Arabidopsis thaliana: one gene and its partners. The protein of the gene in region 3 purifies or fractionates together with the protein of the main gene of each other region. This does not show direct contact. Each region holds a gene or a part of one and is shown on either strand. Other genes may lie near its edges.

Region 1 (3,919 bases), on a different chromosome or scaffold from region 3:
GTGGGACACCAGAAGAAACCCGGATGTTAAAATCTGCAATAACGTTATTGATGCTTTGTGTTTCAAGAAGAGAATCCCTGAGGCTCTTGAAGTATTCAGGGAGATTAGTGAGAAAGGTCCCGACCCGAATGTTGTGACGTATAACTCACTTTTGAAGCATCTCTGCAAGATAAGGAGAACTGAGAAAGTTTGGGAGCTAGTGGAAGAGATGGAACTTAAAGGTGGTAGTTGTTCGCCTAACGATGTGACATTCAGTTACTTGCTCAAGTATTCGCAGAGATCGAAGGATGTTGACATAGTTTTGGAAAGGATGGCAAAGAACAAGTGTGAAATGACAAGCGATTTGTACAATTTGATGTTTAGGTTATATGTGCAATGGGACAAGGAAGAGAAAGTGAGAGAGATATGGAGTGAGATGGAGAGAAGTGGATTAGGACCAGATCAGAGAACATATACTATTAGGATTCATGGTCTGCACACAAAGGGGAAAATTGGAGAAGCATTGAGTTACTTTCAAGAGATGATGTCAAAAGGAATGGTACCAGAGCCAAGAACTGAGATGTTACTGAACCAGAACAAGACCAAGCCAAGAGTAGAAGACAAAATGCTTAGATCGAACTTAACAAGCGAAGAGTCTGAAAGCGACTAAATGTACATTATAAAGAAACAGATTTTGATTTTGAAAGATCTAGTAACAAAAACAAATTTCCGTTATCCCCATGTTCTTATGCAGCCATGGGCACAGCTTCTGATGGTGCTGCAGCAGCTGCGTCTGGGACGTACCAACCATGGTGAATTTCAACGGCTTTTTTCCTCCTAGCCAATCGAGACTTCCTACGGGCACCAGTGTTCTTGTGTAGTGCTTTAACCTTCACTGCTTTGTCAATTGCAGAATAAGCCTCTCCTATCAGTTTCTCCACCGTCACAATCTCATCAGCTTGCGCATCAGTTTTCTTCTTGAGCCCCTCAAGTGCTTCCAAGACCTGTTTACTCAAATGAATTTTACTCTCATCTTGCATGTATGTAAAAAAGTTACTTACAACATTTATAAGTCTTAGTTGTCGAGGATAATGAGATGTTCTAAACTATCAAGACTTTTAAAGTTCTCCCAAGTTCTAATAACAACATGAAACCGTCTCAACAGCTTCCACTTGAGTTCCATTTTTCGATAAATCGGTTGCAAACAATGATAACTAATCCACCTACTTGGATTCCAATGTTCAGTGTTGTTCATAGGTTGCTACAAGAATTCACAAGGAGAAACATTCCCTGATATATTTCCACCTAACTTATCACTAAGACTTCAGAGGAACAGCATTACAAGCTTATCAACAATCTTGTATCCTATCTTCAAACAGAAGCTCAAATTTTCAAAAGCACTCCAACATATTTTCACAGAAAGTATGAAGTTTACAACATTACCTTCTTCATCCGGGTACGGGCTTCAGATTTCTTAGATTTGTTGTAAACACGCCTCTTCTCAGCTTGGCGAGCTCTCTTTGCAGCTGAATCAGCTTTCTTGGTAGGAGCAGCAGCCTCACACACAATCAATTGCCTCATTGGCTTCTGTACCCACAAATTCCCTGTCCAAACATGTATATTTCAGTTCCAAAACCCCTAAAATTTTGACACTAGCGAAAGCATAAGAAAACGAATGGATTCAAAATGCCGATAACATTTCAATAATTCTCCATGACCAGGATGAAATTCACGATTCTGAAGTAGGGTTTACCGGTTGAGAAGGCGACGCATTGAGAAACGCTCTGAGAGAAGCTAAGGGAAGAGGATAAGGTAGCCGAAGCACCACGACGATTGGAGAAGGAAGAAGATGGTGACGAACAAGAGATTCCCTTAAGCGAAAGGACTTTGAATTGGGATTCGAGGGTCGCACAGGAAGAAAGACACTGCACTATCGTCGCCATCGATTTCTACAAGCTTCCTCTTCTCTCTTCTCTGCTCTTTCTCCCTCTGTTAGTAAAGAGTAATGGCTCCATTTCGAACCAGTGTTATCCATAAAGGAAGAGATGATGTCTGGAAACGCAATTACTATATTACCCTTGGTTTATCGTCTTAACTCCAGTTTAGCCCAGTGTTTTGGATCTCCCGCGTGGGCTAATGGCAAACGATGAGAAACGGACCAAACTCGTTATTCCTTTTTTTCTTTGATTAAGTTCAACACTAAAAATTAAAGAACACAAATTTCAACCGCCAAAACGTTTACTCCTAGCCTTCGTTGTTTATAGAAAGAACTAAAGTTTACTTATCGAACAGCCAGAGAAGATATAAAAAACTTTGGTTAACAAAGAAGTTTTAACTTTTTTTCTTTAGTTGTCTTTAAAATCCTTCGCCTGTCATTACTTCTGGTCGTGCGCCTCTGTGCTTCTTCGACATATATGGTCCACTTCGAACAGCTTCTTGCAACTGCAACAAATGTCAAACATGTCATCAGCAAGTAAAAGTACAACATCAAAGAAAAGCCTTTTCGAAACTTCCATCTTAAAGAGCGCAGAGGAAAAGTATGGAACCTTGTCACCGGTTTTTAGACGACGAGGGTCATCAACAAAGTTACTACACAAGAACGCTTCGTGAATTGCTTTGCAGCAGTTATACCTTGCTTCCATTGCTGAGTAAAAAAAAAATGAGATTTAGACTCGTAGATCAAAGAGGTTGAGGGAGGAAGAAGCCAATACAATGGCTGGAGTGTGGGTGATGCGAGGAATGTTACTTGGTTTACCTATTTTTGCAGTTTCAGTGGTTGCATCCGTAACTATGTTTATTATCTCTTCTTTGGCCAAGATTTCCACCAGGCACCATGGCCGAGCCACTAATGCTGTTAACGTTCGATAACCCTGCAAACAACATTGTAAACAATATACTATAAGCAAAAAACATAGTTACCTCTAGGCAATGCGTGAAGGTCTTATGTGAGATCAAATGAGTGACATGTATCCGAGTTTTGTGTAGAAGGACAAAAGAGATTTCTTAATTTTGAATGAAATGTAGTGTGTCATTTTGAAATTTCCAACTAGAGAAACAAAGGGGGAGAAGATATGATAGATCAGATGCTGAGTTAAAGGTTTACCGCAAGACGAATCTCTGAGCTTTGTTGAAGAACTGAGAGGAATAAACCCTGCAATTTGTGCGACATGCTTAAATTAGCTCATGCTACGGATCAAACAAAAATATGTAATCTGCACACTTCTGAGAGAAGAATAAGTAAAAGAGGAAACGAACTTACGGATGGGGTTAGTTTTGTGCTCTGTGCTGCAGCGTCGTATATCAAACATCTAAGGCTTTCTTCAGCTTTTCCATCAACTATTCTGTTGCTCTTAGGTCGTGTTTCACCTGCGATGTTTGCCAGTGCATGCAGTGCAGCCTGCACATGCCATTTACGAAACAATCATATAATTTCATGAATGTCTCTACTAATGAAGCAAAATTTCAACCCTCAATAGTTAGAATTAGAAATCCTAAAACTGGAAAAATTGGATCTTCAAAAATGTAGTAAGAGCATATAATCGGCAGAATTTCAATTGATGAGAAGCAAAAACACACTAACCAACTGTTTTCCATGTGCATTACGATCAAAGGCAGAAGCTACAACATGTCTTGCAGCTGGAGGTGAAGTTGAAAGGACAAGATCCGCTCCCTTCGTTGCTAAGATTATTGTAAAAATATCCATATAAGTTACAAGATCATTGCATGGGAAACGAATATCTTGTCGGATGCTCTTATAATTCATAATTCTAAATGTATGGCCTCTCTAGCTATCTCTTTTAGAAGACGACTGCAACAAACAAAGTTTCAAAGAAAAGTGACCCACTTACTTGATCCCATCTGACCAAGTGCATCAATGGCAGCTTCCTGTGCATCAGTATCATTCATCTCAACTGACTCCAGACTCCCATCAATAGCTGAA
Region 2 (3,800 bases), on a different chromosome or scaffold from region 3:
TAATCCAAAGCCGTTGTGTAGACCTCATGGCACCGCCCCTTGAGATAGTGTCGACAATACTTGATAGGCTTTGGTTTTGGAGCTACTGGTTTCAGTTTCAGCTTTTTCACGCCAAGGGCTATACGCTCTTGAGCTCTTTTTATCCTAGCTTTTGCCTGCATGAAATAGCTTATCAGTAAGTAAACATCTTACTCCACACACAAAATGATTGTAAGATATCCCCGTAATATGTCAAAGAAATGCATACACTACATTACCCTCTTTCTGGCTTTTGCATCCTTAGAAGGCGCAGACCTTTTTTTGATGGAGGTTCCAGGATCCATCTGCAAGTTAAAATACAAGTCAGATTTTATTAACACCTAAGCAACATAACATAACAAGATTCTTTAATATTGGATACCTTTGCTTCGTTACTGAAAGTTTGATCAATCTTCTTGGCTTGATTATCTACATTCATTACCTCAACACCAAAACTCTTATGACTAGTGAGATGGCTATTACCAGTTCCATCTTGTGAGACCTGATACTCCTCATGTCTTTCGACTGTTTCATCATCTTCTACAAGCATATCATCATTATCATCCCCTGATATCTCTCCTTCTTCTACATCATCACCTCCAACTATCCGAGACACAGAATCTACCAAAACCGGACTATTATCAACAGGTTTCTCTAATTCCATCTCTCTTTGAACTGTTCCATTACAAGCTTCCAAAACTCCAGAACTTATAACCTCATTAGATTCAACAGATTTAGGAACCTCCTCTGCCTTTTTCTCACTTTCAACTGGATCTACTTGAACTTGAGTTGCAATATTAGGCTTCTCCAGGACATTTTGGACAATGTCATAGTCATTCACATCCAATGCCTCAAAGAGATTCACACAACTTTCTGGAACAGAATCTTGAGTTTCATTAATCATAAGCTCAAAGCTATCGAAAAAATCTGTGTGTCTACTAACAACAGATGCATCTTGCAAGTCAATTCCATCACAAATATCTCCAAGCATCAAACTCTTTTCCTGTGAAATTGTTTCCACCTTCTCACCACTTGAATCACCAGACACTCCATTGAGTTTTGATTCCGTAATTGATAAATTCTCCGGCGGTTCGCAAGTTTCTCCCGGAGACTCTTGAGCAATTTCTATGTAAGAAAACACAAATAGCATCAGAAATAGTTTCAGGCAATTTCAAGCAACAGATGAACTTTGAATTTTGATTACTAGAAGATGAATTAATCATTCCTAAGAACTTTGACTTCGAATCGAACACTGACCTGTTCGTAAGACCAGCTCCTGGAGAACTGCCGGTGTGGCAAGAGAAATTTGAGGCTCCCGATCGAAACTCGAGCAAAAGTGATAAAGCAAAGAGCGATAATTTCGATTCGGCAGATGCGTGCGTCGGTGAGGAAACGGAGCGACGGAAGATTCCATTGTCTCCGCCGGAGAATAATCTCAACCAGTACCGATAGGCTCAACTTCGGCTTGTCTTTCGCCGGAGAAAGGCCGTCTTGTGGCGGTGGACGATTTAAAAATCTTTATTGGGCTTGTATCATCTTTGATGTTAATGGGCTTCCTGATTTTGTAGGCCCAATGAATCCTTCAACAAACGGCGTCGTAATAAGGATCCAAACCCTAAAAGATTTATGGATTCAGAGTTTTCGAAATTGGAATTTCTCACTCTCTCTATCTCTCTTAGCCAGCTCTGATCATTTCGATTTTTTTCCGGTGAAAAGGGAGGAGAAACATGGTTGTACGTATCAGACTGTCGAGATTTGGATGCAAAAATCGGCCATTTTTTAGGGTTATGGCTGCTGATAGCAGATCTCCAAGAGACGGGAAGCATCTTGAGGTCTTAGGTTACTTCAATCCTTTGCCAGGTGATTGACAAAACAAAATGTATTCCAATTGGTGTTGTTCGTAGAGTTTTCGATTAAAATACACGATCTCTTGGTCTATGTGTTCAGGCCAGGACGGTGGTAAGAGGATGGGTCTCAAGTTCGATCGAATTAAGTATGTTTCTTCTCATCTAATTCTCTAGTTTCTTATGTTTTTTTCGGTAAAATCAGGTAGGTTTTGGGTTGAATTTACTCAGAAAGAGGTCTCTGAATGCTTCACTAGATGATTAAGGCTTTTCTGCATTTGAAGTGTTTTGGTTAATTGCTAAAGTTAGCTTCTAGCCGCCTCTAGATATCTTAATGCATTGTTGTATAGTCAACATTGTGTTATAGTTAACTATCTTTCGATCTGATACAAAGGAGCTGAGTTCAGTCTTTGAATGGTTTTTGTTATCGAAAGGCGAATGAATCTACATGTTTCCCATGGTTGGTTTTGATCACTTTCTTTCTCTTCATGGTATTGAACCATTAGTTGAAGCAATTTTCTACCTCATTTAATCACTAACTTATGAAAGGAAAAACTGAAATATTTGTGGAAATTCATCAACAAGTTTTGTTATATAACAAATGAAACTTCTCCGCCAGTCTTGAGTCTTTCTATGGAACTTCTGCTCTGAGTTCTGGAATTGTTTCTTATTAGTGTAAGATGAAGAACCTGTTGATTATCTATTCGTATACACACTTACTTACATTCTTAATTGTTCACCATATACAACCTCTTTTGCATAATTGTATGGTCATGTAGCTTTAGAATCTTGTCATGCTCTTTATCATCATCTAAAATTAAGATTATAATGTCCGGATATTAGAAGAACACATGTCAAGACTACTTAAAAGTTAGATCCTGGTCTGTCTTTCTTTTGTTCTGAATGACTAGTTTCAACAGAGGATGCATATAGTTTGATTAATGGACATTTTGTTTGATTCTCTTGTTCTGTACAGGTACTGGTTATCTGTTGGTGCTCAGCCATCAGACCCGGTTCAACGTCTCCTATTCAGATCCGGTTTACTTCCTCCTCCTCCAATGGTGGCTATGGGACGTAAAGGTGGAGCACGAGACACACGCCCAGTTGATCCGATGACTGGTCGCTATGTGGATGCAGAGAATAAAACAGTTAATGCCAATGATAACCAGCCTAAGGAAGAGGATACAGAAGCCAAGAGTGCATGATTCATTAGCCTTCTGTCATCGTAGCTTTTCAAGTTCACTTTGTTGTCGATTATATTGTGTAATGCAGCATTAGACAACTGACTTGTTTCCTTTGTTTGGCGATAAACGGCAAGGTGTTTGGCACTTTTTGCAGAAACGGCACATATTTTGCATTGGGATATTTTAGATTTTAAAAAATGAAAAAGTAAATAAAAATGCCAGCGAGGGAATTAAAAAAAAAAGAATGGCAGTTGTTAGGTTTAAATTTTATAAAGGAGGAAGCCACGTTTTGCGTTTAGTCGCCACCCAGAAAAAACCCTCAAGTCTTCTTCTTCTTCCTCAATCTCTCCACCTCTTTTCAAACCTTCTTCACACTCTCTCTCAATCAATCCTTTTTCTTCTCAAATCTTTCAGTTTTGATCTCTAAATTTCCAGAAAATGAGCAACGATAAGGACAGTTTCAATGTCAGCGATCTCACTTCTGGTAAATCTATATCTCCGATTTTGTTTCTGCGGCTTTGCTTCTTCTTAGTCAAAGTTTTAGAAGCTTTTTTGTTTGTTTGCAGCTCTTAAAGATGAGGATCGAGCTGGTCTTGTCAACGCTCTTAAGGTGAGTTTCTCTATCTCTTCTTATATCGATTTGCATTATACTTGAAGAGGAACATGTAATTTGGGCGTTTCGTCATTTTATAGTTTCTGTGGAGATTTTTTTGTAACTGTTATGTGTTTGATTCACAGAACAAGCTCCAGAATC
Region 3 (2,799 bases):
TCGGCTCATCGGGATAGGGGTAAAAGAAAAAGAGATTTTCGCCGTTTATGGATCACTCGAATAAATGCCGTAATTCACGAAATGGGGGTATTCTATAGTTATAATGAATTCATACACAATCTATACAAGAAGCAATTACTTCTTAATCGGAAAATACTTGCACAAATAGCTCTATTAAATAGGAGTTGTCTTTATACAATTTCGAATGACATAAAAAAATAAGGGGATTGGAAGAAATCCACGAAAATATTTGAAATAGAGTTCTAAGGAGAATGAGCTCGGGGAAGGTAGAGTAGAAATTAGTATTAAAAAAAAAGTCGTCAAAACAAAACGAGAGTATATAGTTTCGAAAAAACGAGTTATGCTTTTCGACGATTCTTTTCTTTTTTTTTTTATAATAGACACAGACGTAACAATCAAATTTTTATTCTTGATTGGATTTTTTGAACAAAACATTAATCTCTTTTTTAATTCCTTCAGATTGGAATTGTTATTCAATTGAAAAATAAGTCTATTTTTTTCTGGTTCTAAGACTAGTAGTTCTAGGAGTCGACTCACTTCTTTCAAATTGTTTCTGATTATTAAGAAAAGGTAACAAAGATAAAATACGAGCTTGTTTTATAGCAATAGTGATTAATCGTTGTTGTTTTAAAGTCACTCTATTCACCCGTCTAGATAATATTTTTCCTTGTTCACTAATAAATCGACTAATTAAACTCATGTTTCTATAATCAATTCGATCCCCCGATTGGATCGGGGGCAAACGCCTACGAAAAGATCGCTTGGATTTAGTAAAAAGTCGCTTAGATTTATTCATAATTTTTATTTTTATTCCTTATCTCTAAAATCCTATTTTGATCGGATCAAAATAAAAACGATTTCTATTTCTATATAGGATAGAATTTCTATATAGAATTAAGAATATCGGATTAGATTTCTTTCTATTGATTTATTTGTTTATATTTATATATATGTAATAATATATAGATACTAGCATTATTCCTGTTCTTAAAATAAAAGTTGACATACAAGCACTCAATTTGATCTATTTCTTGATTTCCCCGTGAATTGTATGTTTATAACAATAGGGACAGAATTTTCTCAATTCCAATCGACTAGGGGTGTTATGCCGATTCTTTTGAGTAATATATCTGGAAATTCCCGCGGCTTCTTTCTTAATATCATTTCGAACACAACTGGTACATTCCAAAATAATTGTTACTCGAACATCTTTACCCTTGGCCATGAAACCTCCTTTGGATTTATGATTCACCTCAATCTTCTATTTTAATTTTAGGATCCAGAAAGAACAAGAACAAAAAAAATAGAAGCTGTTAACTAAAAAAAATTCTGAAATATTTCGTTACAATTAATATTTTATTTATTAGTAATTAAATAAAAAAAATAAGTAATACAATGATTTATGATTTTGTGAAAACTATATTTAAAATCTTTGTACAGTAGTTTTTTTAAGTATCTGATAGGTTCCCTAGCAACACTTTTTTTCGTTCTATTACTAATTTCATTGGATCCTGAACCCTCGTTTTTATGACCTTTCCCCCCCCCCCCCACCTTTTCTAATTTATTCTACTAATTAGAAAAGGTGGGGGGGTTAGTCCCCGATTGTTGATTGTATCTCTAAATTTTTCACCCCTTTCTGATGTTAATAACTAGAATGAAAAAAAGGGAAATGTTAATGCATCTGGAAATAAACGATTAATCTCTATTAATAAACCTGCTAACGAACCGAACCATAGAGTACTTAGTACCGGTGCTACGGAAAGATATGTTTTTAGATCTCGCATTAGAAATCCTCCTTCTTTCTTCTTTATTGTATTACATTATATATAGTAATATATATAATTACAGATGTACATGTAATTAAGAAGTTCTTGTATTTGTATATGTAACTTCCGTCCCCCCGCTTTCAAAATTAGAATTTTAATATTGTCGACTAGAACGATCTTATCGATTCCATTTGAAAACGTAAAGGCCTATTTATGTAAAATTGAGAGAATAAAAAAAAAAAAAAAAGTAAATTTTTTAATTATATCTTTGTTATCTGATATGAGAAAAAAAGAAGAAATGAATTTGATATACCAATAAAAAAGAAGGAGGATGTGGAAAACAAGACAGGAATTCTCTACAATGACACTGTAAACCTATTGAAAGGGATGTAGCGCAGCTTGGTAGCGCGTTTGTTTTGGGTACAAAATGTCACGGGTTCAAATCCTGTCATCCCTACCTATTACTGCTCAGAAGAGCAGTAACGAGGTATCTATTTTGATCAATTTTTTTTATCGGACATACATTTAATTCTGAAATTTATGATATACTATGTATGATATAGTATATACGTACAAAATCGAGTCGGGTTAAAGAATGCCCTCTTTCTAGCCTTTTCGTTTTTTAGAAAAAAAAAAAAAGAAAAACGCTCTTAGTTCAGTTCGGTAGAACGTGGGTCTCCAAAACCCAATGTCGTAGGTTCAAATCCTACAGAGCGTGATTTCATAGATTGTATCAAAATTCCACTGTTCACAAATTACTGAGCAGCAGTCTGAATTAGACCTCCCGCATAGGAAAGCAAGAAGGAGGTTAGTAAAAAAACGAGATGTTAATTAATTAAAAGTCCAACTGATCACCACGTCTGTATTGTAAATAAGCAGTTACGAATAATCCAGCCAAAGTAATAGGAATTAGACCTAAGACGATTCCAAATAAAAAAACTTCAATCATTTGAATTTTCTTTTGTTTTCATTTTTGAAAGGGAGAAAAGAGAGGTACTATCTATTCCTAGCT

What was found. Proteins that work in one complex are often made in the same cells at the same time.
Region 1: the proteins of rps18 (region 3) and PRPS20 fractionate together in Arabidopsis thaliana (co-fractionation; one large-scale study listed by BioGRID). This does not show direct contact.
Region 2: the proteins of rps18 (region 3) and AT5G56940 fractionate together in Arabidopsis thaliana (co-fractionation; one large-scale study listed by BioGRID). This does not show direct contact.

The regions. Positions count from the first base shown.
Region 1 is NC_003074.8:5,114,219-5,118,137, reverse strand, and holds PRPS20 (chloroplast 30S ribosomal protein S20), read right to left. Parts: upstream 2,118-3,919; 5' UTR 1,923-2,117; coding exon 1,733-1,922; intron 1,584-1,732; coding exon 1,423-1,583; exon of another isoform or gene 984-1,422; coding exon 726-983; 3' UTR 650-725; downstream 1-649. Other genes in the region: AT3G15200 (Tetratricopeptide repeat (TPR)-like superfamily protein), read left to right, coding at 1-649; AT3G15180 (ARM repeat superfamily protein), read right to left, coding at 2,335-2,421, 2,526-2,623, 2,735-2,849, 3,083-3,130, 3,239-3,376, 3,560-3,657, 3,828-3,919.
Region 2 is NC_003076.8:23,029,134-23,032,933, forward strand, and holds AT5G56940 (Ribosomal protein S16 family protein), read left to right. Parts: upstream 1-1,613; 5' UTR 1,614-1,745; coding exon 1,746-1,878; intron 1,879-1,965; coding exon 1,966-2,011; intron 2,012-2,838; coding exon 2,839-3,067; 3' UTR 3,068-3,278; downstream 3,279-3,800. Other genes in the region: EMB1789 (CCCH-type zinc finger family protein), read right to left, coding at 24-155, 258-323, 401-1,143, 1,276-1,432; NAP1;3 (nucleosome assembly protein 1;3), read left to right, coding at 3,485-3,530, 3,613-3,656, 3,785-3,800.
Region 3 is NC_000932.1:65,935-68,733, reverse strand, and holds rps18 (ribosomal protein S18), read right to left. Parts: upstream 818-2,799; coding exon 512-817; downstream 1-511. Other genes in the region: rpl20 (ribosomal protein L20), read left to right, coding at 1-222; rpl33 (ribosomal protein L33), read right to left, coding at 1,046-1,246; psaJ (photosystem I subunit IX), read right to left, coding at 1,671-1,805; petG (cytochrome b6/f complex subunit V), read right to left, coding at 2,623-2,736.